Elephas maximus indicus: one gene and its partners. The protein of the gene in region 1 interacts with the protein of each later gene in a pairwise test. Links are inferred from orthologs where the notes say so. Each region holds a gene or a part of one and is shown in the gene's direction. Other genes may lie near its edges. The genes, in order: ITSN2, SOS1, WAS and SYNJ2.

What was found.
Region 2: the proteins of ITSN2 (region 1) and SOS1 interact in a two-hybrid assay, tested with the Homo sapiens proteins (2 studies listed by BioGRID and IntAct). The link is inferred for Elephas maximus indicus from reciprocal best matches to the Homo sapiens genes ITSN2 and SOS1.
Region 3: the proteins of ITSN2 (region 1) and WAS interact in a two-hybrid assay, tested with the Homo sapiens proteins (2 studies listed by BioGRID). The link is inferred for Elephas maximus indicus from reciprocal best matches to the Homo sapiens genes ITSN2 and WAS.
Region 4: the proteins of ITSN2 (region 1) and SYNJ2 interact in a two-hybrid assay, tested with the Homo sapiens proteins (2 studies listed by BioGRID and IntAct). The link is inferred for Elephas maximus indicus from reciprocal best matches to the Homo sapiens genes ITSN2 and SYNJ2.

What each region holds. Positions count from the first base shown.
Region 1 is NC_064830.1:41,935,895-41,943,492, reverse strand, and holds the start of ITSN2 (intersectin-2), read left to right. Parts: upstream 1-4,581; 5' UTR 4,582-4,671; intron 4,672-7,598.
Region 2 is NC_064844.1:24,621,227-24,628,862, forward strand, and holds the start of SOS1 (son of sevenless homolog 1), read left to right. Parts: upstream 1-4,620; 5' UTR 4,621-4,718; coding exon 4,719-4,805; intron 4,806-7,636.
Region 3 is NC_064846.1:122,887,736-122,895,416, forward strand, and holds the start of WAS (actin nucleation-promoting factor WAS), read left to right. Parts: upstream 1-4,665; 5' UTR 4,666-5,836; intron 5,837-7,681. Other genes in the region: GLOD5 (glyoxalase domain-containing protein 5), read right to left, coding at 4,224-4,309. UniProt on the Homo sapiens protein: Effector protein for Rho-type GTPases that regulates actin filament reorganization via its interaction with the Arp2/3 complex. Important for efficient actin polymerization. Possible regulator of lymphocyte and platelet function.
Region 4 is NC_064819.1:230,244,400-230,251,507, forward strand, and holds the start of SYNJ2 (synaptojanin-2), read left to right. Parts: upstream 1-4,092; 5' UTR 4,093-4,379; coding exon 4,380-4,506; intron 4,507-7,108. UniProt on the Homo sapiens protein: Inositol 5-phosphatase which may be involved in distinct membrane trafficking and signal transduction pathways. May mediate the inhibitory effect of Rac1 on endocytosis.

The sequences.
Region 1 (7,598 bases):
GGTACCAGAAGAACTAGATGGTGCCTGGCTACCACTAATGATTGCCCTGACAAGGAACACAACAGAGAGTCCCTGACGGAGTAGAAGAAAATTGGGGTGCAGAACTCAAATTCCAGTAAAAAGACCAGACTTGATAGTCTGACTGAGACTGGACGAACCTCAGAAGACATGGACCCTGGACTCTCTGTCAACCTAGAACTAAAACTATTCCTGAAGCCAACTCTTCAGACAAAGAAAACACATGATACTCATGAAGAGTGTGCTTCTAAGTTCAAGTAGATACATAAGACTAAGTGGGTAGCTCCTGTCCAGAGGCGAGATGAGAAGGCAGAAGGGGACAGGAGCTGGTTGAATGGACCGAGAAATCCAGGGTAGAAAGGAGGAATGTACTGTTACATTACAGGGATTGCAACTAGGGTCACATAAATTTTTTATGAGAAACTAACTTGAGCCGTAAACTTTCACCTAAAGCACAATTAAAAAAAAAAAAAAAAAGAATGGCCATATAAAAGCAATCTATCACACCACACTGAGGCACAGCATAGTCAAATTATTGAAAGCCAAAGTTAAAGAGCAAATCTTGAAAGCAGCAAGAGAAAAATAACATATTACATAAGGGGAACAGTAACCTAATCGATAGCTAACTTCTCAACAGAAACTATGGAGGCCAGAGAGAATGCAACAACCTCTTTAAAACGCTGAAAGAGAAAAAACAAAACAAAAAACCCATTGTCAACCCAGAATATTGCATCTAGTGAAAATATGATTCAAGAACGAAGGCAAAACAACATTTTCAGATAAAATACAACTAAGAAAACTCATGACCAGTAAGCTACAAGAAACAGCAAAGGAAGTTCTTCAGGCTGAAGGAAAATAACGCCAGGTGGAAACGAGAATTCTTGGAAAAGAACAAAAAGCACTAAAAGTAATAACTATTTGGGTCAATCAAAAGACCATATTTGTTGCCCTTTTCCTCTTAATTTCTTTATACATTATTTAAATTTCTTAAAACTAGAAAATTATTTAACCTCAGGGATGCTGGAAGATTGGAATTATTTGTGCTATATATTCTCACTTCTTAGCACTGTGGGTTCTGAGGGTAAACTGGTTAGGGAGGAAGTGAATGATGGGATCCTTGAAAACTAACAGAAGGGGAGACTGATAGAACATAGGATAGTATAGTTGGAGAAGGGGAACACAGTGGGGAAGGATAATGGATTGAGATAAAACGCCTCCATGATAAAAGTTAGGTTATCAGGAACAAGCCTACGAATCTATCTTAGCTTGTGGCAAAAAAAACAAAAAACTAAACCCCAGTGCCATCGAGTCAATTCTGACCCATATCGATTCTATAGGACAGAGTAGAACTGCCCCATAGAGTTTCCAAGGAGCACCTGGTGTATTCGAACTGCTGACCCTTTGGTTAGCAGCCGTAACACTTAACCACTATGCCACCAGGGTTTCCAGACCTGGGAAAATGACCCTCCTAACCTTTTCACTGTACACTAATCACTAATCTTCTTTAGCCTTGACAGGTACATCTACACATCTTATGTAAGACTTAGTGTATCAGTTGGTGCTTGAGGTGAACAAGGGGTCGGGGATGGGATTTGGGAAATACCAAAGGGAAGAATTCAGATACAGTTCCAAGATCTGCTCTATGCGGTGAAGGGGAAGTCAAGGAACTGGGATGGTGGATGCATCACCTACGTGAATCACGAATACTAAAAGGCACTAAGGATGATGGAAGGCACTGGGTGGAGAGGACTTCTAGGTGCTGAAATTCTTGGTGAATGTATAGGAGCACCCAGGAGGTTGGTAAACCATATGGATGAGGACAGGTAGAGGATTGTGTAACTGGTGTTGTAGCCTCAAAGAAGAAGGGACTTTTATATGGAAGTGGAAAAATCATGATCCATGTCTTAGTTATCCAGTGCTGTTATAACAGAAATACCACAAGTGGGTGGCTTTAACAAACAAATTTATTTTCTCACAGTTTAGTAGGCTGAAAGTTCTCTGCTCTCATTTGCTTGTTTAATCTCTTTTATACCTCAAGGAGATTGACTCAAGATACACCCTATACTAATCCTGTTTTATTAACAACACAACTCATTCTCAAATGGGATTACTGTATAACCACAGGCATAGAGGTTAGGATTTACAACACATATTTTGGGGGGACACAATTCAATCTATCACAATCTGGAAGCTGCAAAACGAGCATGAAGAATGTTTTTTTGGCTACTGTGCTTTTCCTCCTATATTCCATTTCTTACCTTGACTAATAGAACTATCATCACCCAGGCCTGCCCAGAAACCTGAAAATCCTTACTTCTTTTTTTCCCTAATTACTTACAAATTCTTAATATTGTCCAATACACCCCTGAAGTTCTTGGGAGGAAGATATGTGTGAGACAGTATAGAAGAGTAAAGGTCTTACATTTGGGGCTGTGATGGAATAGGATACGATGGACACATTGAGCTCAAAATTCTGAATGGAATCCTGGGATATAGTTGTTTTAGTGCTTAAGATACTGTACCCAACACTCCCAATGCCGTTGAGTCGATTCCGACTCATAGCGACCCTATAGGCCAGAGTAGAACTGCCCCATAGAGTTTCCAAGGAGCGCCTGTATAAAACTGGGAGCCTACAGTATCTTGTACTGTAGGCTCCCAGTTTTATACAGGATTCTGATTTCTATCAGAGGTTGTTACCTTTTTGGTCTCCTTTAGGGAGATTTTTTTAATGCTTTCTCTTTAATTCTTTATAAACGCGTCCTACTGAGGATTTAACACCTCTTTTTTTTCTTTTTTTTTTTCAGCAAGAAAGGAGACTCAGGTCGAATTGCACCAGGTTCAGAACCCAGAAACACAATTGACATTGATCAAATGATTGAAGAAAATAGAAATTGGCTATCAGCCTATCAGGAATGAAAAATAGGTTTCATCTCACAGGCCAACTCTAGCAATTTAGTAGTGTCTCTCTGGAGCACTACGTTGAAGAAGATTCTGAGGCTTACACTCTTGAGAATGGGCTTTGAAAGAGAGTAACACAATTAATTCCTGCTGTCTGCCTTGGGACTTAGACCATGTACTCAAGAGTGCTATGCCTACCCCGGGTGGCTCGTTTGCAGAAGGGAGACAAACTTGTCTCCAGCAAGTAAGGGACCTCATAGATTGATACAAAGAAGTTACATCTCTCTGTGTCACTGAAACTCAGGACCTGCCTGTCAGGTCTTGGTCAGTTCCTAATAGAAGAGTTGGGAAAACACTAAGTGTGAGATTGGGAAAAGCCTGTTTATCATCATTAATATTTGTTAAGTTCCTCACATGAATCAGTTGGCCAGTTCAAATAGGTCTGAGCTTTGGAGCCATATCTCTCAAGCCAACACTGCTACCTGTCCCAATTGGTAAGGAATGAAAGAAAGCCAAGGGATCAGTTTGATCTACACAGATTTCTCATGTACCAAGTCAAGGGGGTATGAGTTTAGTACTCTGGACCAGCCCCAACCCTGCTTCTAAAAGCCAAAAAGCAAGACAAAACAAAAAACTGGGTCATAAATCCCCATTTTTTTATGCCCCCCAAAACCACTGACTCCCTCTCTTACCCTTTACCGATAGAAAGCCTTTCCCTTGAAGAAGTGCTTGGTACATGGTGGTGTCTTGAGTAGATGTCTGGTCTTTTGTGAGGAGACTAGGAGCTTGGAAGTGAGATAAAAGAAATTCTGAGTTTGACCTGTCAGTCAGCTAAGGGCTGGGGAACAATGTTTACCTTCTGCAGGCTTGCAGGCAGTGGAGTTTGGGGTGAGAGACTCTTCTAAAGGTAAGCGTATGGGGGGGGGGAGTTGCTCTCCTGTGTGCATGGAGGCAGGGAATGTTCCTCGTTTTTTTGTGTGTGTTCTGGAGGAGGGTGAGGAACGCTGAATGGATTGCCCTTGGGTATCTAAGGTCCCTGAGGAGGGTCAGAGAGGCCTGTACTAGACCTTCGAACAAGGGTGAGAACCACCTCCCTTCCACTCCTCAGCCTCCCATTCCTAGGGAATTCGTGCTCCCAGATCAGTGAAGGAACGCTTCGGTAAGTGAGAAGGTCGCAGGCAGAGCCCTCTGTGGGCCTGGCCCTCCGCTTGGTACCTTCCAAACCCCGGGGTCTGCTATGGCAGGAAGCGTACCACTCAACCTCAGCATGTCACCTCGGGGAGGAGGAGCCAGGTGGGTCGTCGCAGCTCTAGGAGGGGCTGCCAGGTCGGGGCTTCGGGGCTTCCCCGAGGGGAGAGCAGAGCACTCCCGGATCAAGCCCGCGGGGTCCGGTGCGCCGGGGCCCTGGGGTGAGAAGCCGCTCCCGGGCCAATCTCGGGCTCCCGAGGGTGGGGGAGTTGGTGCCCTGCGGCGGGCGGGCACTCAGCTGCCCGGCCCGTCGCCTACCTCCCCGCCCCCCGGCTTCCTGCGGAGGCCGCGGCCGCCATGTTGTTGTGGGGCTGAGGCGGCGCTGGCGGAGCCCGAGCGGCCGTGACAGGCTGCGCAACAGGTTCGCTGTCGGCGGCCTGCTGAGGCACCGGGCGGCGGCGGCGGCGGCCAAGTAAGGTCTCCTGGCTTCCTCCTGCGCCCGCGCTGCTGGTGCCGAGGAGCGCAGGGTCGCGCCGTGACGTGCGGGAGGCGCGGCGGGGGCGCCAGGTAGGTAGAGCCACTCGCCGAGGCTGCTGCAGGGCGCGGGGCCGGTGCGGGCGCCGTCGCACCCGCCGCCCGGGAGGCTCAGCGGGCTGGGCTGGGAGGTCGCTGCCCGCCCCTGACGAAAGGGACGGGTCTGTAGAAACCCGAGCGGCCACCGAGCTAGGCCCCTCGCGGATTTAGCCGCGCCGGGCGGAAACCTCCGGCCCGGGGTTCCTGCCCCCGCAGTGGGGCGAGGGCGGACGCCGAGATGGCCAGGGCCAGGCTACTCCTTTCCTGGCGGCCGAGCCCCGGTCCTCGGCCGCGCTCTCGCCTGGCAGGTGGCGGACGCCGCCGAGGGTCGGAAGCGGCGTGGTCCCCTCCCTTTCGGGGTGCAGGCAGAGGAGAACCCGTAAGGGCACGCGCACGCTTCCTTGGGGACCCATTTTATTTTCGCGGAGTTGGTTTTCCTTCTTGGGAATGGTTGGTGTGGAATGTCAGGTGAACCGCATCCCGGTGCGTCAGAGTAGCCCGAGTCACGAGAGGACAGTGGGCGATGCTTGGCGTCCACCGCTCGCTTAAACCCAGTTGAGAAATGTTAAAATTTGACTTTGGGGTTGTTGACTTCCAGGGTATACAGGAAGCACGGAGAGATGGAATCTCTTAGGCCGGAGTAAAGTTTATTGCTTTTTGAAGAAAATAAAAAAGACGCCTGCATGTGGGTAGTGATTGGGGAAACCGAAGCTGAAACTGCAGATAGCTTTACATACTGTGGAAAGGTGTTTGTGTTTGAATATATTCATAACGTGCTTTATCGTTGAATGATTACGGCTGGCAAATATGTTTCATTTGAAACTTGCATTGACCTCTGAATTAGGAATATATTTGATGGAGCCAACAGCTTTATGATGGAAATTTAGGCTAACACAATGATTGTTGCTTTGCTAAATGCTTCTAGTTTGTTTTAGTAAAAACACTTGATTACCCAGAAATAGACAAGGTGTGACTTGAAATTTTGTGTTGTTTCTTATGCTTCTTAAGCCTCTCAAGAAAATTTATTGCCTCCCTTCCTGTACTGGTTTGCTATATTGTTAATCAGCGATAAAATTTAAAAGAAACCTAGAAGCATTACATAAAACCTTTACACACATTGGTAATGATGTTTTAAAGATAGCAAGTCAGATGTGCTTACCTTTAGGTTTCTTTGGCTGTGCCTATGATTCCCTTGTAATTTCAAAAGTAAATAAAGTACAAGTAGTTTTTAGAAGCGTAATTTAAAAACAAACAGTATTTCATGTTTTTCAAGGATTTGAAAAAAAAAAAAGATGTGTATTGCTGGTGTAACGTTAGTAAGCAGCTGAGAAGCTTGTAGTTTTTTCTCCCTTCAAGTACAGGTAGTTATTCCTTTTGCTCACCTTTATAAAAAAAAAAATTATAGTGAAGATAAACTAGTCAGAGAAAACTTGACCCTTACTTGTCGGTGTCGAGGCTAAAATCCAGATCTCTACTGAATATGCGGGACTGTGTTTAACACATCCTAGGGATTGGAATTTATATATTTTTTAATTTGCATTATCACAAATTTACTGCCTCTATACATCCATCGGAAACCCTAATGGCGCAGTGGTTAAGAGTTTGGCTGCTAACCAAAAGGTCGGCAGTTCAAATCCACCAGGTGCTCCTTGGAAACCCTATGTGGTAGTTCTGCTCTGTTCTTTAGGGCCGCTGTGAGTCAGAATCGACTCCTCAGCAATGGGTTTGCTTTGGGTTTTATACATCCATCACCCAAATTCAGCAATATCCAAGATTTTCTTTATCCATGCTCTTTTTTTCTTTCTTGTTTTTATTTTTTAGTGATTTCACCCTACGTACTTAATATACCTCAAAAAAAAAAAAGTGGAAAGTTTCTTACACAACCTCAAGGATTTTTAGTTTTAATCTTGTTAATGTGTTGAGCTTCACAAATTTCCATCTTTCTAGCAAGATAAAAGAACATTCATCAGCCAACTCCTTCAATTATACCTTCTTCAGTATTATAGTTACCATGGTTGTCCTTTATTGAGCACTTACTATGTGCTAGACCCTATGCTCAATGCCTTATATAATCATTTAAGGCTCACAAAGACCTTGAGAGTAGTTATAAGGCTTCCCATTAAATAGATAAAGGAAATGAAGTACCTGGAGGTTAACTGGCTACTTCAGGTTTCTCAGGTAGTAAGTACAGGAGCCAAGTTTAAAACCAAGGTCCTTCTAATAACCTTAAGGCTTATGGCCTTATGGTGATAATCATTTTGGTTAAAAAAAAAAAAAAGTTATATTGGCATTCAGTAAATGTTTGTTCAGTGAATGAATGAAAGTACATATTAATCCATTGAAGATAAGTAATAGACTATTTATAGACTATATTTAATTGTAAAGCTTTTATATTAAAAAGCTCTGCAAATGGTTCAGAATTACATTACTAAAAATGTGATATATTTATTACCATGTAACAATGCTTTTGCTTGTTTCATCTTTTTCTATTTTGGTCTTTTCAGTACCTAATTGATTAAAAAAATTGTGGAAAAACTTTTTGAAGAAAGGCTAAAAAAAGGTAGACTTTTTTGTGTGCTCATTATTAAGGGCAAAGTTCCAAGTGTGAAGTAGAAAACTAAGAATGCTTAGAATTCTGTAGCTGAAAATGCGTCAGATATGATGTATTTTCTACTTGAGTTCATTTTTGATTTTGTACTATCCTGTAACTGCAGAGACTAATGTTAGAGTCCCATTGGGTAAAGTGTACATGTACGTATCCTTGAGAAGGAGGAACTGAACTGGTCTTAAAGGATATGAAGGCATAGAGGAAGAAGGGGGAGGGTGGAGGAAACTGAACAGAAATAGGACTGTGACTATATCAAGAAGTAATCTTATTTTTCAGAACTCAAAGAAGGCAGCATATTTCATTTGCAGAATGT
Region 2 (7,636 bases), on another chromosome or scaffold:
CCTTGGAAGTCATACGCATCATTTCTATATAATTCTATAGAAATTCTATATAATCCTATACCAGGGCATGAACACAAGGAGGTGAGGCTCATCTTGGAGGTTGCATACTACAATAAATAACACACAATTTAGTTTTACTTGTTTTTTGCACTTCATATAATGAATCATATAGTGTATAGTTTTCTGTGTCTTGCTCAGTGTTATGTTTTTAAGATTCATCTATGTTGATTGGCATAGCTGTAGTTCATTCATTTCTGAAGCTTTATAGTATGCCACTATTTATCTGTTTTACTGATGCAGTTACAAACACTGCCTCAAGGAACTTTTTTCAAATGCGAAAGGGTTTCTCTGGGATATATATGTTATAGGAATATTCCCTACATAGATTATATGGAGGGAGCCCTGGTGGCACAGTGGTTAAAGCACTAGGCTGCTAACTGAAAGTTTGGCTCTTTCACAAGAGAACTAACTACTCTGAGCTCTTTGCTATTCCATATACAAAATAGAATCCTTTTATCAAGTTCCATGACAAAGCCTATTGGAAATTTGATTAAAATTATACTGGGTTGGGATGTGATCAGTTTGAAAAGCCATTATAGCTTGAATCAACTGGAAAGAGACTTTTGCAAAAACTAACCAAGCAGCAGTTGCTGTTGAGTTGACTCGGCATGTGTGTTAGAGTAGAACTGTGTTTCTCAGAGTTTTTAAGGGCTGATTTTTTGGAAGTAGATTGCCAGGCCTTTCTGATGGGGCATCTTTGGGTGGACTAGAACCTCCAACCTTTCGATTAGCTGCCCTGCCCATTAACAGTTTGTACCACTATATGGATCCTGTAAAAAGGAGAAGTGCAAGGAATAGTCCAATCTATCTTGGAGAAACCAAAAACCAAACCAAACCGGTTTCCCTGACAGTACTTACTCTGCTCCCTGCCTTCTTCTCTTTGAGACTGTATGTATTTAATTAAAGGTACCTAAAAAAAATTTCTTTTTTTTTTTTTAAGAGTAGGTATCCACCCAATGGTTTTATCAGGCACTGTTTACTCCGGTGCATTTTTGTTGAGGAGAGAAACACTATTTGGAGAAGTGGAATTCAAAGCAGGGATTCGGGAGAATGATATGATGAAAAGGGAGGATATGCTACCGGAGGAGAGAGGACAGTTACTTTGAAGCAATGCCTGTTGGGCTCTGGAGTTTAAGGGGAGTTCTAAGGGGGGCTGGGAAAGGCTTCAGAGAAAAGGTGGGGTTTGAGTCAGAGGCGCAACACCCTGGGTAAGAGTTCCACTGTGAGCATGTCTGGGGGCTGGGGTTGGGCTGTGGCAAGTAGGGTTGGAGAAAAATGGGTATGGACGTTCCAGGCACACGGAACAGCATGTGTAGTAAACAAAGAAGTGATGGGCTTGCAGAAGGCAATAGGTAGTCCATTTTGAGTAGGAAATACAGCTGGAAAGATTAGTGTTCCGATTGTGTAAGACCATGAATGCCAGCCTTAGGACTTTGCACTTTATCCTGGGACGCCGATGAAGGCTCTTGAACAGGAGAATAGAGGGATACGAAGTGTGCTTCAGGAAGGCAATTGTGGCCGCAGCCAGTCAGGGAACAGTCTGGCGCTATTGTGGCTAGCGGCGCGGGGAAAAGCACGGAGTCCTGACCGTCCACCTGCAGGGGGCGCACCACGGGGCTGAACGCCCTCCCCGCCCCCTTTCTCGCCGCCCGAGCTCTGACGCGCCGAGCTTGAAACCCGCGCTCGAAACTTAGCTAGCCCGCCTGGACGCGATTCCCTCGGGCCTCGGCTAAGTCCGCCTGGACACGCCCCTGTACGTCACGTCCGCCCTGGGGCGGGGCTGGCTCGGTCTGAGTAGAAGCACGAGCAGAAGCCTTTGCGCCTGCGCCATGCAGACCCAATGGGCGGGTAGTGATGAGGGGGACAGGGGCTTCACGACCTTTTTCGCACGCTTCGTGGTCCGGTTCGACTATCTTCTCTCGCTTCGTCTCCATAGGTGTTTTGTCCCCTGAGTGTTCGGCATCATTCCCCCGAGGACTCACAGCTGAGAAGCGCCCAGTCTCTTCCCTGCAAGTTCCCTCCAGCTGCTTGCCCTCATCCTGCGGCCAATATTTTCAAGCTAATGAGAAGCTGAGCATGCCCAGCCCAGGCTGTAATCCATGTTTTTAGGGCTTGTTTCCTTCTGCAGTCAAATTAGGAACTGGGGAATTGGAGGGACCTCGGACGTCAAGTCCAACTTCCAAACCCTCCCCGACATCCCGCGTGAGTGAATGTAGTTTTTACCTGCACACCTCCCAAGATCGCACGTTCCCTGTGGACAACTCTGTGTAGTCTTCCTTCCTGAAAGTTCCCTTCGGGCGAGTTCAGCTCTTTCAGGAATATTGAGTGCCTACTGTGTATTGTGTACCAGACACCGTAGGTCTTTGGGATACAATGATGATCATAAGATTGCTGATTTCTTGGAATGTACATTCTAGTGGAGGAGACCAACAACTAAAAATAGAGGCTGTGGTTAAGTGCTAGCCAGAAAATAAACGGGGCTATGGTAGAAAAACACAGGCGGGAAATAGAGTGATCAAAGACGGCTCTTGGAGATGGTGAGGTTTAGAACCAGCCAAGTGTACAGCTAGGAGCAGAGTGAGCTCCAGGCAGAGGGAAGAACAAAGCCCTTGAGGCTGGAAAGGGAGTTTTCTAGGAACGGACAGAAGGCCAGTGTGACTGCAGTGTGGTGAGCCAAGGTTGGGAATGGCGAGAAAAGGTTGAAAAGGTACATAGGAGCCAGATGCACAGCTCTGTGGGCCATGGTAAGAAGCTTAAAATGTATTAAAAAGCAACGGGAAGTCAAGGAAGAGTTGTGGCAAAGGTGAGGTCTTAGTTCAATTACCAAGAACCACACAAACTATTTTTTCCAATCACAGTCCTTTAGATATTTGAAGAGACCCTTTTTCATGCCCCCAACTCCTTCCAAGGTATGGTTTCTCTACTCCTTACCCAGAGGACTTATAAATAGAGCTTAAAATCTTATTCTGAACCCTTCGATAGTGAAAAAAAATTTTATGTAAATCATGTGTGTACATTTTAAAAGGGAAGGTCTTAAGACTTTTATCCTGTAAAGATTAATAACCAGTGTTTAAACCTTTCTCATCAATGTCAACTTCTCTAATAGTTTCCTCATCTGTGAAGTGAAAACAATAGGGTTGCTATGAGGATTAAATGAGATGATGCTCAAAAAGTTTTGAATGATAAACTAGGAGGTGCCTGCCATAGAGTGCTGCTGTTAGAAACAAACACCTACAGCCCTGGGATGGAGGAACAATTTACAGATCACTCTCCTCCAGGATCCCACAAACATTCACTAAGTGCCTAAAAAAAAAAAAAAAAGTGCCTATTCTGTGTAAAACCCCTGGTAGGAAAGATCTGCCTTCCAGGAGTTATTATCTGTTCTTATCTAGTCGAAAGAGCCAGGAAAGGTACGAAACAGGACAGACTAAGCTTCGTGAGAGAGGTGTAAGTACTCTGGGATTTGGGAGCTTCAGGAGAGGTCTCAACTAGTCTCCACTGGAGGACTTCACATTTGAAGTGGGCTAGAGGGATGAACACATGTGATGTAAGAACACGGACACGCAGAAAATCAACACTACACGTACACATTTGGGCCTTGGTGCCTGGAAACGCTGCAGTCACTTTTACTAGCCCACTAGTATTGAGCAGTAGGTTCTGTGAGAAGGGAACTATCTTTCGTCCAAGCTCTGGACAGTCCTTATCCAAATGTTCGGGAACAAGGTACACACACAAAAGCACCTCTTTCCGAAACGAAAGGCCCAGGGGCTCCGAGAGAAGTGTGCGATCCCTCGCGACCGATGCACACAATGGGGGCCGCTTCCCGGAGCTCGCCACCGCCCGTCTCTCCCCGCCCCCTCTCCCGGCCCCGCTCCGTCGGGGTCCGGCTTCTCCGGGCTCCTTCGCCCCTCCCCTGCAGCCCCGGGGCGCAGCCACAGCCCGGCCGGGCGCCCCCTCCCCGCGAGCTTCGCCTCCTTCCCGGGTGAGCCAGAAAACCCGGAGCGAGCCACTCCGGCCCGGCGGCGCATGCTCAGTAGCCAGCAGGTTCAGTTCGCAAGTAGGAAGCTCCAGCGCTACACCGGCGTCGGCGGCGGCCGCGGCGGCACCTCAGGCGGCCGGATTGCCCGCAACGACCTCGGGCCCTTCCCCTTCCCCGCGAGACCCCGGCCCCGCTCCGCCCCGCGCGGAGCTTCGCGCGTTTCGGGGTCCCTGCTGCGCGGAGCGAGCGCCGCTCCCCGAGCGCCCCTCCACACGCCCTCCCCCCGCCGCCAGCTCCGCCGCGGGGCCAGGCCGGGCCCGGGAGCGCAGCCCCGGCGGACGGGCGCGCGGCGGCCGCAGCGGAGGGCAGCCCGGGGCGGCGCCGGCGGGCCGGGGAGGGGTGGGGGCCCGGCCCCGGGGCGGTGGTGCGGGATGCCGCCGCCGCCGCCTCCGGGCTGCGTTCGCTCTTGGCGGCTGGTGCCCGTGTCGGGTGGGTGGCCGGGCGCGGGCCTCGCCCCCCAGGCCCCTCGCCAGGGCTAGCCCGGCAGCGCGGCGCCCCGAGGGGGCCGGGCCGTCCGGCGGGGCCGCGGCCCTGCTCAGCGCAGCGAGCTCGCCCTCTCGCGGCTCCTCGGCCCGGCCTCCGCCGCCCCCTCCCCGCCCAGAGGCGCCCCGGGGGCACCATGCAGGCGCAGCAGCTGCCGTACGAGTTTTTCAGCGAAGAGAACGCGCCCAAGTGGCGGGGGCTGCTGGTGCCAGCGCTGAAGAAGGTGAGGAGCGCGCGGGACCCCGCTTCCCGACTGCAGCCCCGGCGAGGGCGCCGGGGCCGGCCAAGGGCTGGGGAGGCGGGGCGCGCAGGGCCGTCTTTCTTCCCGGCCTCACCGAAGGGACGGCACGCTGAGAGCTTCCCCACATTGGGCTGGCTCTCGGTGTTGACATTACCCGGGCTGTGGGAAGGCCGCAGGAAGCCAGGGAGAGTTGTCCGAATAATCCAACCACTGAGCGAGGAATGCCCTGCCCCTTGATTCGGAGACACCAGTTGGAGGAGCCCGGGTTTTTAGTGGAGGTCAAAGCAGGCCACTTTTCCGCCTTCGTTTTACCAGGAGCTGCTGTCAGCCTCCGTTGTAGGCGTCCAGCCTGCTCATTTTAGTGGGCTCGAAGAGTGCTCTGGCCAGAATGCTTGCCCTAAGTAATTGCAGAGCTCTCCTGCCAGTAGCAAGAGAAACACGGCTTGCTCTGCTCGACCTCAGTAATCACTCCCCATTCCTCCAGATTCCTCCACTCTTCCGAGTAACAGGGGTGGGTGCAGATGCCATTATTTTAAGGGTTTTGGTTGTTGTTGTTTTCTGAGAGCCTGAAAATCTGAATCTGTCGTTTGGTTTGTTGATTACAAACCTTTTTAACCTTTGTATGTTTCTTCAGGTTTGCCACATTGTTATCTCAGGTTCTACACCGTGTTCTGTGCTTTTAAATGTTTCAGTATAATTAGGAAATGTTGCTACATTGTAGTAGCTTCGAAAAGCAACGTTGTGACTTAATATACACCTCAGAACATCAGAGACTGATGTGTTGAATGACTTTAAAAACAACTACCAGAGTATTTTTTTGTTTTCTTCTTTTCTCTTACCTTTTCTGTAAGTATAGAGATCGCTTTACTCTTCTTGAATCCCGGTTTCTTGTTGCTCAAAGAATGTTTCATGTTATCTTGTTAAAATATATTTTAACAATTGAGATTATCGTGTACTTTTTGTGCAAAATATTTATACTTTTGAAAAATGTTTCTTAAAAGGTGTCTGTTATTTGTCAAAGGCCGGCAACTTTTACTTTCCCTTTTGCCTTGTTCTTCCCCTCCCCCTCTTTGGTTTTTACTGTGGAAACTAGTTAGTTAGCAGAATATCCTCAAAATTTCAGGTTTAAGTTACTGTCTTTTTTTCTCAACAATTTTACAAATACTGTTGACATGTTGTTTTTTAAGAAAACCAGAGAGACAACGTATGGCTTATATACCTTATTCCTCCTTAGAAATCCCATCAGGCTTTCCATCTGTTTGCTTTTGCTTTATTTGCAGGCTTGGCTTTTTAGCTTGTAATAGATGGGGGGGGGGGTGGTAGGAGGTCTCTGTGATGCTAGAAGCAGGTATTCTGACAGGGAGGTAGACAAATTGCTTGAAAACATAAAAAGAACTCAAACATTATCAGTTTGGGGCCATTTTGTTCAGAATCAGTTAACTCCTAATTTGAGGTAACTGCCACGATAACCTATCAGTTAAGGGTCCTGTGAAGTAGGGGAAAGAGTGGTGTAGGAGTTGGCAGAGCTGGTCTAACTCTGCCATGCTGGTGGCCATTGCTGAATTCTGTCCATGGAAGCATTTTGTTGGCTGGCACAATATTGTTTTGTTATTTTTAAATGTAATTTGCTGCCAGCATTTAAAAACGGGAGATATTATGTGCAATTTGAATTTTCAACATTTCTTGAAGAATAGGAAGATCTTTTTGTATTGAACTGACATTCAGGTAAGGCTGGAGCTGAGTAAATGGCTGATCCCTTTGAGCAAGGCATGTATCTCCAGTTTACCACAATCCCCACTGGTCAACTTTGCTTATTACTGAAACCAGCATTCACTTTAAGCAGAGAGATGACTATCTGATGGCAGTAGAAGTGATGGTGAGGAGGCAAAGGCGAAAGCGTACACATCAACCTGATATGTAATGTTCTTCCAATCCTCATTCATATACTCATTATTGATTCTAAGCCACCTAAGATTGAAAATATATTTCATATCTGGATATGCTCTAGGGAGCTGAACACCTGAATTTTCACCTGCCTGCTGAACATTTCACCTGGGTATCTCCACATCTTGAACTCTTCCATCAGACTTATTGAACTGTTTGTGTCCAACTGTTGTGTTCTCTTACCTGAGGCTGTTTATACTTGCTGTTTCCTTCACCTGGGCCGCCCTTCTTTGCCTGGCCTAACTCTACTCCTTCAGAACTCATTCTCCATGTCAGAGTTTTTCTTGAATCTACAGGGCTGAATTGGATAGTCCTCCTTTGTTTTCTTTTAGCACTCCAGGCTAGTACTTAACAGTGAATTTTAAGTTCTTATTTACTTGTCTAAGGAGCTCTAGTGGTGCAAAGGTTCTGCCACTAAACAACAGATTGGCAACTTCATGGTAGAAAGGCCTGGTGATCTACTTCCCTTAAGATTACAGCCTAGAAAACCCTGTGGGGCAGTTGGCGGTCACTGTGAGTCAATCATCTCGCTGGGCACCTAACAACATTTATTTGTCCCCCACCTTTGCTACTAGATTGGATGCTCCTTGAGAACACAGATGATGTCTTACTTTTCATTTTGTCTCCCATGCATATTCAGACACCTCGTAGGCACTCGTATTATTTGAATGAATGGGTGTGGGAATACGTATATTTCTTTCACGTCCCTTAAACACAGTATTTCCCAAACTAAAACCATCAACTCTCTTCCTTCCACCTAACATTTTCTAGTATTTCTTCTTGATTTATGAAGTCTCTGGGTGGCACAACTGGTTAAGCGCTTGGCTACTAACTTAAAGGTTGGTAGTTCGAATCCACCCACAGGCACC
Region 3 (7,681 bases), on another chromosome or scaffold:
TTCCATCTGGAGCCTGCCTGATTCTAAGCCACTATGAAGCTTCAGCCCACAGTTGCTGTATAGGTGGCCAGATCTTCTAAATCTCAACAGAAGCCAGATATCTGAATTTTAGTAGAGAATCTCTAACTTTTTAAAGTTTGGCCACTAACGGAATTTTTAAAAAATCCGTTGCCGTCAGCGCACATTGCAGAAGAGGATCTCCAAATGGCCACTAAACATGTGAAAAATGTTCAACCTCATTATTCATCAGAGAAAAGCAAATTAAAACCAAATGAGGCATTGTCATGTAATATTGGATTGGTTAAAAAAAAATGTTAAGGTAATTTCACCACTGAAGGGAATGTGAAATGATGCAACCACTCTGGAAAACCATTTGGAATTATTTAGGAAAATTTGAAAATAGGCATCCTCTGTAACCCAGAAATTCCACTTGTTAATGCCCATTATGAGAATGGATAAACAAATGGTAGAATATGTAACAATGGAGTACAGCTACACACGACATATATACATCTCATAGACATAATGTTGTGGAAAAAAAGCAAGACACAAAAAATACACACTGCATGATCCCATTTATGTACAGTTCTAAACAGGCAAATCTAAACTGTTGTCTAGGTTCACAGATGTCAGTGGTTAAGAAAAGTAAGGAAATTATGACCACAAGCATCAGGGAGGTGGTTCTCTCTGGGGGAAGAGAGGATGATGTGCTGGGGAAGGGATTCATTGAGAGCTTCTGTTCTCCTCTAGATGCTCTATTTCAGGGGCCAAGTCTAGCCTGCTGCCTGCTTCTGTACCCTCACAAGCAGAGAATAATTTTGACATTTTTAAATGGTTGAAAAAGGATTTAAAAAGAATATTTTGTGACACGTGAAAATTATAAAATACAAATTTCAGTATCTATGAATAAAGCTTTATTGGAACACAGCCACCTTCATTCATTTATGTATTGGCTGTGGCAGCTTTCACAGACAATGACAAAGTTGACTAGTTGCGACAGAGGCCATATGGCTTGCAAAGCCTAAAATATTAACTATCTGGCCCTTTAAAGAAAAAGTTTGCCAACACCTACCTGCTCTATTTCTTCAGCTGGCAGTCGGTTTTGTTGGTGTTCACTTTATACTGTAGTGGATCAGTTTTCTGTGAAATACATTTTTTGTGGCATCTAGGTCCAAGGTATGGTTGCCAGACATCCTATGCATTTAACTATTTTGTTATATGTCCTGTATTGACTTTGTCAGGGTGGTCTACAGATCCTGTATACAGTTTTTTCGGAAAATTGCAAAAATCTGGCAGTTGGAGCGTTTTTCCTCCACACTAATCGACGCGTAAATCACGTAAACGGCAACGCTACTGAAAATCATGCCTTCACAAATAAAGATCTGGATAATCCCTTATGATCTCTCCTGCAGGTTTGGCTGAGGGAAGACCAAAAGGGGCGCTGAGAATTAAAAGCACTTGTTTTTCGTACTGAAAAAAGGAAAAGACTATTCTTGTGGCCAAGGGTCCAAGTTGTGAACAAATAACCACCTATAATTAGAGATATCTTCAGGTTAGTACAAATGCTCTGAAAATCAGGCGATAAACGACAGCCTCACTCAGCAACTAGACTTTTGAAAGTTAGCAATTCATTCAGTGATTACCCTCTCCTGAAAGTCGGCCAATCAGTGCCGATCCCATGCCTCTAGACAGCAGCCAATCAGCAGTACGTCACTCCAGTAGCCATGCTTCTGAAACTCAGCCAATCAGTGATAAACCCCTCCAGTCCTGAAAGCCAGCCAATCAGCAGTGCTTCACTCTAGTAGCCATGCTTCTGAAGTCAGCCAATCAGGAGTAACCTCAATCCTCCTAGCCAGACAATCAATGAAAAACTCCCTAGTCAAGAAAGTCAGCCAATCAGGGACAGCCCCGTGCTTCTAGACAACAGCCAATCAGCAAGTGCCTCACTCCAGTAGTCATGCTTCTGAAGTCAGCCAATCAGTGCTAAGCCCCTCCAGTCCTGAAAGTCAGCCAATCAGTGAGAGACCCACACTCCCAGGCAATAGCTAATCAACAAGTGCCTCTCTTCAGCACCCATGCTTCAGAAAGTCTTTATCCTTGTGAATATTTATCTATTTCTACTTTTAATGCAGGTACTATACACATATATTCAACTTTATATATATCTACGTAACATTTTAAAATTAAAAATAGGTGTTATGGATTGAAACGTGTCCCCCAGAAAGATGTGCTGAAGTCCCTGTGAATGTGACCTTGTTTGGAAATAGGGTCTTTGAAGATGTCATACTAGGGTAGGGTGGGTTCATAATCCAATCTGAGTGGTATCCTCATAAAAGAAAGAGACACAGAGGGAAGAGGGCCATGTGACAACAGAAGCAGAGATTCTAGACAGCAGAGCTGTTGTAAGCCGAGGGAAGCCAAGGATTACCAGAAGCCGCCAGAAACCAGGAAAGGCATGGAACAGATTCTCCCCCAGAGCCCTCAGAAGGAATCAACACAGCCAACACTCTGAATTTGGACTCCCAGCCACCGAGCTCTATGAGAATAAAGTTCTAATAAGCCACCCCGTTTTGTGGTACTTTCTTACAACCACCCTAGGAAACTAATACAATAGGTAACTCGCTAGAGCACTAACCGTGTGTATAAGTAACACCTGTCAATTACAGCCGGCCTCACGCTCCCAAACCATCACTGTGAGCAAAAAAAAAAAAAAAAAAAAAAAAATGGGGCAAGTGTTTATTCTCTCAGACACACTTTGTCACTAGGGCTTTTAACTGTTGTAAACTGCGTGGTTAAGGTGTCAGGAGAGCCAGACACCTCCCTGTGCCTGTCCCCTTGCGGCAGAACTTAACTTCATTAAAGTAACCTCTGGGAGTTTTCCTAAAACCTAAACTCAAAGCAACACTTTTCGTTTTGAGTAAACTGGAGAATAAGTGAATGCGAGAACGACTGGGCGGCGGTTAAGTTTGTCCTACTGGGTTTGTCACAGAGGTTAAGATCGAATAGCCCAGCACACCGAGCGCCACACCCTGGCGCGTGATCTCACTAAACCCCAACAGTAAGCACCATCCTCAGCACCTTTTACAGGTGAACATACTGACACTCAGCGGCGGTATTAGAACTCTCCAGCCTAAATCCTCAAGGCCCCACCTCAGCGCACCCAAATACACTGGACTGGCATCCACCGCGCATGTGCCACACCAGCGGCCAATAGGAGCCCGGCGCGCAGAATGGCGACGGGGCTGTTTTCCCTCGGAGAACCCGGAAGCTTCAAAGCGTAGCAAGGAGGAGACTTCGGTTTCCGGCCAATCGGCGCTCACGGCGGTCCTCGATTTCCCCCTCCCCACCATGAGCCAATTGCCTACTTGGTGCATTGAGAACTGGCTGGGAATGAAGGGCTCGAGAGGGCGTTACCCTGGTGGCGTAGCGGTTAAGAGCTACGGCTGCTAACCAAAAGGTCAGCAGTTTGAAGCCACCAGGCGCTCCTATGAGTCGGAATCGACTCGACGGCGTGGGGTTTGGGGGAGAGAGATTAAGATGGCGGACGTTAGAGAGGCTGAGGGTGCGGCTGCAGGGTGAGGTCCCCCAAGGTGGGTGGGAGTCGGGAGGACGGGAAGGGAGTCTTCGGATGAGCAAGATCGCGACATTCCCCTATCCCTTAGGAGCTTGGGCAGATTCCGGGGCCGGGGATCGATTCCTAACGCACGGCGACCCCACGTGTGCAGAGTAGAACTGCTGCACAGGGTTTCCAAACTTGTGACCTTTCCGAAGCAGAGGCCAGGCCTGTCTTCCGACGCGCCTCTGGGTGGGTTCGAACCCCAACCTCTGGGCTGCATAGTCGTCCAGCCGTTAACCCTTCCCGCCATCCAGGCCCTCCCTTTAGTAGTTCTCCCCTACAAATAAAATGGTATGTAACAGGATGGCCACCGCCTCCCCGGTGGTACGATCCTCCGCGGACTGTTCCATTTCTGCGTCGTCCCTCCCCACACCCGTTGTGGTCCATTCCAGGCTGCAGTGTTAGTACTCCTTGGGGTCACACAGACAGGGGTGTGGGCGCTTATGGGGGTCACAGATTGGGGTGCAAGGAGGAAGGAAGCATCCATCCAGGGAGAGTTGATGGTGATTTTAAGGGCGTGGACAGTGTAGGGACTAGAAGGGACCCCTGGCTGGTCCAAGGTTAGCAGCACAAACCTAGAGGGAGGGAAAGAGGGGGGCTGACTCACAGCGTTTCCTGCGCAGGTGGAGGGAGTAGGGCGGGAAACGCGGTGGGTGGGACTTCTGAGGTTGGCAGGGTGGGCTCCAGGAGCATCTCAAAGCCCTCTGAGAAAAGTGAAGAAAGAGCAGTGGAGAGGTGGTCATGTGTTTTGGGCCTCTGACTTGAAAGTCTGATAGGGGAGGGTGTGAATGCTAGGCCGCACGGTTGATAGTTCATTTATCGAAGTTACCCAACTATTTCATAACAACAACAACAAAAGATTATACAAGATTGGAATTATAAAGCTTATTCAAAGAGAATACTGTATTTACATAGCTTCCTGGTTTTAATTATTATGGTTTGTTTTAATTGTTCGGATGTACTGCGATCTACTTGGCATTTAAACACTGATTAAAGCTAATCATTTTCACCAGGATAATTTTTTTAAAAACCCAAAAACAATCATGTATAATTACGTGTCAAACCCTGTCCCAGTGACTTTACATGAATTATCTCATTTAGTCGCCACAACAACCCTAACCACTGTTATTATCTTCACTATGGATGGGAGAACCACAGGTGTCTCTGCTTTTCTGTGCACACCTTGTAATCACGTCACCCCACCAGGACTGGAAATTTTCCCTTCGGCTTGTGGCTTGAGGGCCCCTAAAGAACCTATTTGACCATAGCTTCGGTGAACAGCGTAGAGACACCTCGAGTTGTTTTTCTTCTCCCTTTCCCCGGGCAAGGTCCCTGGGTGGTGCAGATGGTTTGCTCTCGGCTACTACCTGGAAGGTCGGCGGTTCAAATCCACCCAGTGGTGCCACAGAAGAAAGGCCTGGCAATCCGATTCTGTAAGATCACATCCAAGAAAGCTCTGTGGAGCACAGTTCTACTCTGAAGCACTCGGGGTGTCCATGAGTTGGAGTCGACTTGACGTGTGGTTTGTTTTTTTCCCGGGGCAGAAGGGGATACCAGATTATAAAGGCTATCAGTGAAGAAAGGACAGGGAGCCTTGTGGGGAGAGGGTGGCAAGTCTGGATAGCTACAGCATGGATATCTACACTGTACAGTTATTACTGATTCAGCAAACATTGATTAAGCCTCTACTGCACGCAGGGTCTTGTGTGAGGAGCTGGGGACACCTCCGTGAACAAGACGGGTCCTGTTCCTTTCCGCCCTCGGGTGTGTTCTGGGAATTCCTGGGGGGCAATTTTGGCTGTCATAATGATGGAGGTACTGGCATTGAGTGGGCAGCGGCTGAGATGCTGGGGGACAGCCTCACAAAGCCAAGACTTGTAACATCCATGAATGTCACTCAGTCTGGTAAACGAGGCCTTCCAAAATGGTTCTTATGAAAAGGGGGCGTTGGAGCTGAGGGTTGGGAGCTGTTGTTTCCTTGGGTTGGGCCTGTGCTCAAGAAGCGCCCCTCAGTCAGGGGTGTGGAGGGCCATGAGGCGCAGAAAGGTGAGGGGAGAAGGATGGCGGGGTGACGTAAATTTTGCCATCTTGACCCTTATGTCAGTCCTAGAGAACAGCAGTTGTACCCAACCCATGTCCACGTCTCCTCCATGGACTCAGTCGCATGGTGAGGAGCAGACACCCCCCACAGGGCTTGAGCATGGAGACCGTGATCTTGTGGTAAGATCCTCTCAAAGTAAAAAAAGCTTAAGCACAAGATATAAGCAGGAAGTGATTCCGGATCTAGTGCCCACTGCGGGTAGGGGGCTTGTCAGGAGTAGATCATGGGAGAGCATCAGGTGGCTGTACATTATTGAACACAACCTGGTGCTTGGGGGTTCGTGGGTGTTCACTACATTATTAAGTAAATTAGAACTTCTGCTTCCAGTGCAGTCGATGGACTTGTGTTATACCAACTCTCCTGCTGAGAACAATCAGAAAAGCTGGATTAAGTGTTTGGGTTTTTTTCTGATCTATTTGAAGGTCCAGGAGAGCAATTTATCTTTGAGGTCATCACCTCACCAAATACTGACATCCAGTGCAGAAAAGCAAGAGCTAATGGGGACACATTTAAGAGGAGAAAAAAAAAAAAAAACTAGCTCCAAATTATTAATGTAGGTCAACGGAGTAATTCAATAATATATAATATGAAAAAATGATATGAAAATTATTAATAAATCACAGTATTCCAGTGTGGGGAAACTAATCCTATTAGGGACTAAAATAACAAAATCTGCTTCAGGTTGTTTATTTAGAGAAAAATATAAATTTTAAACCTGTCTGCTACTTAGAAATAACAGGAAATATAAAACGTTTTTTTAGGTGCTGAGTTAAGTCCCCCACGTTTTTAAAATTGTGGTAAGTACATATATATATCAAAAGCTTTGTCATTTCAACATTATTTTACATGTACAATTCAGTGACATTAATTACACTCATCATGTGTAACCGTCACCACTATGTGTTTCCAAACTTTTCTGTCCCCTTAACAGCAGCTCAGTGCCCCCTAAGCAAGGACTCCCTTCTCCCCTCTCCTTCCTGCCCCAGGTAACCACTAATGAACTTTGGTCTCATGCATTTGCCTATTCTAGGTATTTCATATAAGTCAGATCATAGAATATTTGTCCTTTTGTGACTGACTTATTTCACTCAGCATAATGTTTTCAAGGTTCATCGTGTTCCAACTTGCATCAGGACTTCAGGAAATACGTAACTTTCAAATGTTAATTAAAACAACAACAAGAACAATCAGCAAATGTAGCAGAGATTTAAGTTCTCCTAATGTAGATTTTTTTTTCCTTTTAGGGAGTCCTGGTGGCGCAGTGGTTAAGAGCTCAGCTGCTAACCAAAAGGTTGGCAGTTGGAATCCACTAGCCGCTCCTTGGAAACTCTATGAGGGAGTTCAACTCTGTTCTATAGGGTCTGTATGAGTTGGAATGGACTCGACAGCAGTGTGTTTGGTTTTTTGGATAATGTAGATTTGGAAAGGAGCCCTCATGGTGCAGTGGTTAAACACTCAGCTGCTAAAGTGAAGGTCGGTGGTTTGAACCCACCAGCTACTCTTGTGGGAGAAAGATGTGCCTGTCTCCTTCTGTAATGATTACAGCCTTGGAAACCCGATGGGGCAGTTCTCCTTTGTCCTATAGGGTTACTATGAGTCGGAATGGCCTTAATAGCAGTGGGTGATGTAGATTTGGAAAGGAGATCTGGTGGTGCAGTGGTTGAGTATTCAGCTGCTAACTGAAAAAAAAAAAATTTTTTTTTAACTGAAAGGTGGGTGGTTCAAATTCACCCACCGCTCTGCGGGAGTTTGCTTCCACCTAGGAGTTGGAATTGACTTGACACCAAGGAGTTAATGTAGAGTTGGAGTCTGGCTTAGTTATCTAGTGCTGCTGCAACAGAAATACCACAAGTGGATGGTTTTAACAAAGTGAAATTTATTCTCTTACAGTCTAGTAGGCTGTAAGTCAGAATTCAGGGTGCCAGCTTGTAGGGGTAGGCCTTCTCTCTCTGTCGGCTCTGGGG
Region 4 (7,108 bases), on another chromosome or scaffold:
GCCCTGAGGCCGAGGCCCTGGGGCGTAGCAGGTGAGCCAAACCAAGCACCCAGCAGGGAAACCACAGATGCTGTGGGGCCGTGGGGTCCACAGCAAAGACTTCGGCTTCTACCGAGGGGATATGCTGTGACCTGATCAGAATGACTGCTTTAACAAGGTACTCGAGCAGCTTGAGGGGGTGTCTTAGTTCCCTGGTGAGGCTGTATCAGAAGTTCCACAGGTGGGTAGCTATAGCGAACAGAAGTTTATTTTCTCACAGTTCAGGAGGCTGGAAGTCTGAATTCAGGGTACTAGCTCTAGAGGAAGGCTTTCTCTCTTTGTCAGCTTGGGGGGTGGGAATTCCTTGTCTCTTTCAGCTTCTGCAGTCCTGGCTTTCCTTGATTTCTTGGCCATCTTCATGTGGCATCTGTCTTCCTCCATTTGTCCTTCCTTGTCTCTGTGTTTATATTGTTCCTTGTAACTCAGAAGCGATTAGGTTTAGGATATAGCCTACGCTGATATGGCCTCAACATAACAAAGAAAACCCTATTCCCAACCGGGATCACATCCACAGGTACAGGGTTGGACTCCAACATATTTTGCCGGGGGGGGGGGGACACAATTCAATCCCTAACAGGGGGCGAGGGAGGAAGAAGGGTGACTAGACCCAGGCTAATGGTTATGCTTGGCCCAGGCTGGTGACATGGGTGCAGGGTGCTGTGGTGACCCCAGGCTCCTCTTCAGCTGCTGGGGATGTCACTCTTGGCTGAAGGGACCTGCCTTGCCCGAGACTATCCCCCCTCGGAGGCAACTGGAATCCAATGACTAATGGACAAACGGAGTGGGTTCATTTGGGATATGTCTGAGGGCCACCCACACCAGAGCTCCTGAGGGATCAGCCGGGCCTCTGTTTCAGCTACATTGAAAGGAAGTTACTTGTTCATCTGCTGAACGTGCTGGTGCCCCATGACCCGACTCACACGACAAAGACGGTATGCTCATCACCACGGCACCTCCTCTGCTGCTGTGGAAACCAGAGGGCAGAGGCCCGGGCCCAGCAGGCTCTCGGCTCCTTCAGGCAGTTCCCAGGTAACAGCTACTACATCTCATGGAGTCTAAGATGTACATTTGAACATTGCCGAAATCAGGGCCTATCTTCCAATCGGTGGCTTGCTATAGTTTCATTAAAAAAAAAAAAATATATATATATATAGTTTCATTAGCAGTGTTTTTTTTTTCAGTGGTACATAAAGTAGTGGTTCACCTTAGATTGATGGCACAGTAGATTCTAGAAGCTGTAAAGCTCAGGTGCTGGTCTCTGCCCGTAGAAAAAATTCTAAAATATGTATAGCACTCATGTGTAGAGTTTTAAATTATGTGCTGCCAGGGAAGGTGGGAAAGAGGGGGAGAGAAAAAAATAACTGAAAGACTTGGTCCCCCCGTCAATGACCTTACTGTGTACCATACAAGTGGAGCCCTGGTGGCACCGTGGTTAAGCATTAAGGCTGCCATCCAAAAGGTCAGCAGTTCAAATCCACCAGCTGCTCCTTGGAAACTTTATGGGGGCAGGTCTACTCTGTTCTATACAGTCACTATGAGTTAGCATCAGCTCAATGGTAAGGGTTTTTTTTTTTTTAATATATATATAAAAAAAAAATTGAAGTTCCCAGCGTACGACGTATTTGAATTACAATGAACTTACGATGTCCCTTTTTTTACATCTTGTCTTTAGTAACATGTAGTACATATAGTGTCGCAGTGCCTAATTCATTATCATTCTCAGGTGTTCACTCACTGTCATTCAGTTTTATGATTTACTGTCCAAAACGCTGTGTTTTGAAATGAAAACAAACAAAAGAGGTGTTCAACTTATGACAGAGTTGTTGGAACAGAGCCCCATTGTAAAACGGGGACTACCTGTAATTTGTCAAACAAGGCTATTTGTAAAAAAGAGATATAAAAACATTTTTCAAATAATCTGTGAGCAAGTGCCAACTGAAGTGTGAATGTGAGTGCATTCTGACACAATTAACTGAAACCTCAAGTATTTCAGGAAGGCGTCCTGGAAGAAGCGATCTTTGGGTTTAAAAGGAAAGGAAAAGCGAGTGTACCAGTTTCCTAGAGCTGCTGAAACAAAACACCATAAGCTGGAAAGCTCGTAAGAACAGAAATTTATTGTCTCACAGCTCTGAGGCAAAAAGCCCAAATCAGGTTATTCCAAAACCAAACCAAACCCATTGCCACTGAGTCGATTTCAACTCAACGACCCCACAGGACAGAGTAGAACTGCTCCACAAGGTTTCCAAGGAGCACCTGGTAGATTCAAACTGCCGACCTGGCTAGCACCCCCAGGGCTCCGAATCAGGGTGTTAGCCATGCTGAATCCCTTTGAGGGCTCTGAGGAAGAGTCTGTTCCATGCCTCTCTCCTAGCTTCCGGTAGTCCCCTGCAACCCACGGCGTTCCTTGACTTGCAGCTGTTTCTCCCTTTGTCATCACATGGCTGTTCTTCCTACGTGTTTCTTCTCCTCTCTCATAAGGACAGCAGTCATACAGGATTAGGACTCGCCCTACGCTGGTATGGCCTTGTGATAATATTTTCTGGTAACGTTTTCAAAGACTATTTCCAAACAAGGTCACATTCACAGGTTAGGATTTCAACATTATCTTTCTGGAAGACACAATTCAATCCATAGCAGTGGGCCAGCAGCTTCTTCAATGGGCACACTTTTTCCTGAGGTAGTAATATCTCCATTTTACAGATACAGACACTGTTCAGACAGCTATGGGATATCCACCACAGGGAGCTGAATTTGTGAAGGAAAGAGCAGGAGGCTCCAGAGTGATTCAAATCTCAGCCCCCATTGTCCACCTCACATCTACTTTATTCCCCAAATCATCACTCGAGAGGTTTCCCACAAATAGCAGAACCCTGGTCTGGCCATTCCTGAATGTCTGTAAGATATCACAGTGTCCACTCGGCGCTCGGGCACTGCCTCCTTCTGGAACAACTCCAGGAGTAAAGGCTTGGTCCACAGTCTTCAGTTCGAACAAGATGGGGCAGGGAGAGAGGACCAGGTTGGTTTGGGGGACTGATGGAGACACCCCCATGGAAGTCTCTGGGATCATCTGGACTTACTCATCAGAAGAGAAAGAAATGAAACTTCCAAACCTCGGTCCACCTTCCCCCAGCTTGCAGAAAACAGACAGAGCAGAGGTCTGGGCTAGCACTCAGTGCCCACAGGGAAAGTGAGGTGCAGACAAGTTAAGGTCAAGGTCCCACAGTGAGTAGCAGACCATGGTCTGGAGAACATGGGCCTATTCTGTCCCTTCCATGACAACGTCCTGTTGGTCCCTAACAGCTCCACCTGGCATGGACAATGGACTGCAAATCGTCATTTATAGAAAGTGGTAAAGGCAACACTGAACACTCTGTGCCAGGCGCTTACTGAGGCTTTACCAAATTAATTTTTTAGCTGGTGCAACTGGTTTGTGCTTGATTACTAACCTAAAGGTTGGAGGTTCCAACGTACCTGGCACTGCTGCTGAAGAAAGGCCTGGCAATCTGTTGTTGCTAGTTGCCCTCACATCAATTCCAACTCATGGCGACCCTATGCGCCTCAGAGTAGTACCGCTCCATAGGGTTTTCAAGGCTGTGACCTTTCCGAGGCACCTCTGGCTGAGTCTGAGCCGCTAACCTTTCAGTTAGTGGTCCAGCGTTTAACCATTTGCGCCAAGACGAGACTCCTTTAAGATTGCAGCCAAGAAAACATTATGGGGCACGGTTCTATTCTGTAACACATGGGGTCGCCACGAGTCCGAATCTACTCTGAGGCAATGGGTTTCTCCTCACCGCTACCCTATTACTCCCTCCCACTGTACAGACAGAGAGACTGAGGCACAGAGCGTTGTACTGACTTGCTCAGGGTGGCAGCGGTGAACCGCAGAGGGGGCGCAGCGCCTGGCCGCAGTGGGGAGGCCTTGGCCGCCTCCCAGTGGCTCTCAGCCTCGCAGGCCCGCCGGCCTGCTGTCCTTATAAGGCCCCGGACGTCCTTTCAGGATTACACAGGGCACCAGGCACCCCCGGCCTTCATCCTCCTCCGCAGAGAAGAATGCCTGGCATCTTCCTATCAGCTGTTCGCCCCGGGAAGCCCTCTTCCCACTGGGGCGCAGGATCAGCCCCTACGCGGCCTCCCCTCTGGGGAACCCCCTGGCCCGGGCCGCGCCCTCTCACCTGCCCCGCGGGCGGAGGAAGAGGAGGAGGTGGAGGAGGCTGGGAAGAGGAGGAGGCCGGGGAGGAGCCTGCGCCCGGCGGGAGCGCCGCACAAAGTGAAACTCCTGGAAGTGGCGGCGGGGAGCGCGGGGACCGACGCGGCCCCGGCCCCGGATCCCGGCCCCGGCCATGTCCCTGAGCAAGGGGCTGCGGCTGCTCGCGCGGCTGGAGCCCGCGGGGGAGAGCAGCGTCCTGCTGGAGGCGCGCGGCCGCGGCGACTGCCTGCTCTTCGAGGCCGGCACGGTGGCCACGCTCGGTGAGTGCGGCGCCTGCCCCGGTGCCCTCGTCTCCGAGCCCCGGTCCCCTGCTCTCCGGGCCCGGGTCCCTTCCTCTCCTGACCCCGGTCCCCTCCTCACCGGGCCCGGGTCCTGCCCCTTCCTCTCCTGGCCCCGGTCCCCTCCTCTCCGGCCCAGGGGCGGCCCCCAGAGCGGAGACCCCGCATTTGCTGAAACCGAGCAAGGGCACCTCCCGTCCCCGGGACTTGGGGGTCGCGCGTGGGGGGCGGCCTTTCTGAGTGGCATGGCGAGGGGACGGAGGTCGGGGACACTCCCGGGCCAGGCTCTCGGTCCGCGCCCGCCCGCCCGCCGGCCTGTGCGCGGAGGGTCGAGTTCTCCGAGCGCCGGGCTCCGGCGATTTAGGGCGCGCGCCCTCTCGGGGCGCGTTACACATTCATGACGGTCCCAGTGCGCCGGTCGCTCCCCTTCTGTTGCACCGGCTGGTGAGGAAGCCAGGGATTGCCGTTTGGTTTGTGGGTCTGGCTTAAGGATCAAAGCCCTATAACGGAGAGACGACCCCCAAACTGCAGCTAGCGCCGCCGCTTGAAGTGTTAGTACAGCAGAGTAGAGAACGTGGATTTTGACACACTACCTGGTGACTACATTTCTGCCGGGAATATTTGAAGGGAGGCACAGAAGTCCTGAGAGGGGCGGTGTGCTCCGAGGACTTTAGAGACATAGTCTCATTTAATTTTCACAATTAGAAAAGAGATATTATTATCCTGGTATTGCAGATGAGTAAACTGAGGCCTGAAGAGAAACTTTCTTGCCAGGGCGACACAGCTCCTGTCTGAGCATTTCTGTAAGGTCACACAGTGCGCGACTTCTTGTATCACTACGTCCCCTCCCTTGTTTTGTTGCCAGCATTCATGACCAGGGTCTAGGTAACACCAAAGTGAGCAAAAGCGGGTAGGATTGTTAGGATTTTAAACAGCAACACAGGACAGTGGGCTTAGGGTGGTCTCCAGGTCCACCATCTTTCTGTGTATGAAGCTGAACAGAGCACAGAGCAGAGTCACCTGGAATGGAGGTGCCGGGCAGGTGCAGCGGACGCTCACTTGCTCAGGTCTTTAGAAATGTGTCTTTTTTTCTGCATTCGTATCCATTGCCTCCTCAGTGAGGATGGATGCCTTGGAAGCACCATCTCTCCTATTTCCACTTCCCTGTTCCTTCCGTGAGGGAGACCCAGGTTCGATTCCCGTCAACCAGTGCACCTCAAATGCAGCTACCACCTGTCAGTCAGTGGAAGCTTGCCAATTGCTAGAATGCCGATTAGCTTTCAGTGGCGCTTCCAGACTAAGACCAGGAAGAAAGACCTGGCAATCTACTTCTGAAATATCAGGCCGTGAAAACCCTATGGATCACAGTGCTTTGATCCCTTTGTGCGTGGGGTCGCCATGAGTTGGGGCTGACTTGATGGCAGCTAATGATGACAGCAGTCACTTCATTAGCATATAATTTTCTGGCTTGTTTTTAGTCACTTGACTACTGAAACAATGTCTCCAGTATTCTCAGTATCACAAATGTGCAGTGAATTGTGGATTAAGTCATTATCCGATTATTCCAATCTGTGCCCTGTCCTGAGAAGTCCAAATTTGGTCATTTGGTAAGGCCTTGAAAGAAACCCACAAAAATTTCCATTCCATTTTAGACGTCTACTTCATAGAACGTTTATCAGAACTGAGATTGATTTCATGGTACGAAAATACCCCTTCATCAAAGATATGAAAATGTCCTTCGGTTGGATCACAGTAAAGTAAGGTTCATAGACATTTAAGCCACCAGGGGAAAAAGATTTTTTTTTCCCCAAAGCGAAGATTTTAAAATGATTAATGAAAGTAAAATAGTGCATATTTTCCATTAAGAAATGAAGTTTGTGCCGAGATGCATTTGTATTACATTGGTGGTTGATTCCAGGACAGAGGGTATAAGGAAATGGGTGGAGGTGTCCTGCCGGCACAGTGGTTAAAGCTCTCAGCTGCTAACAGAAAGGTCGGTGGTTCAAAACCACCGTGGTTCCGCAGGAGAAAGATGTGGCAGTCAGCTTCTTTAAAGATTCACAGCTTGGGAAACCCTGTGGGGCAGTCCTGTGGTGTCCTGTAGGGTTGCTATGAGTAGGCACTGGTTGGGCTCTTTTTCCTACAGCGTGCACTCCACATCTGTCACTTAACCTAGCATTCATTTATCAGGAGACCTGGGGTTGAATAACAAAAGGGAAAAAAATGAGTTGCCTTTGAGTCACCTCTGACTCACGGTGATGCTGTGTGTGTCATAGCTGTGCTCCATGGGGTTTTCAAAGACTGATTTTTTGGAAGTAGGTAGCCAGCCCTTTCTTACGAGCCACCTCTGGGTGTGTGGACTGACCACACCACCCAGAGACACTGGCTGGGCTGAATACTTAACTTTTGAAGTCTGGTTTTCTTAAATGAAATAAAACTCTTTTTACAAAGCAGCTGTAGCGTTTGCTGGCATTGCTGCCCCAGAGGAGGACTGTAAGAACCTTCTATGACGAGAAAGTTGTTTCAACTTTTTAAATACCCGAAACAGGTCACGTCTGTACAGTGTGGCTCAGGACCTGAAATT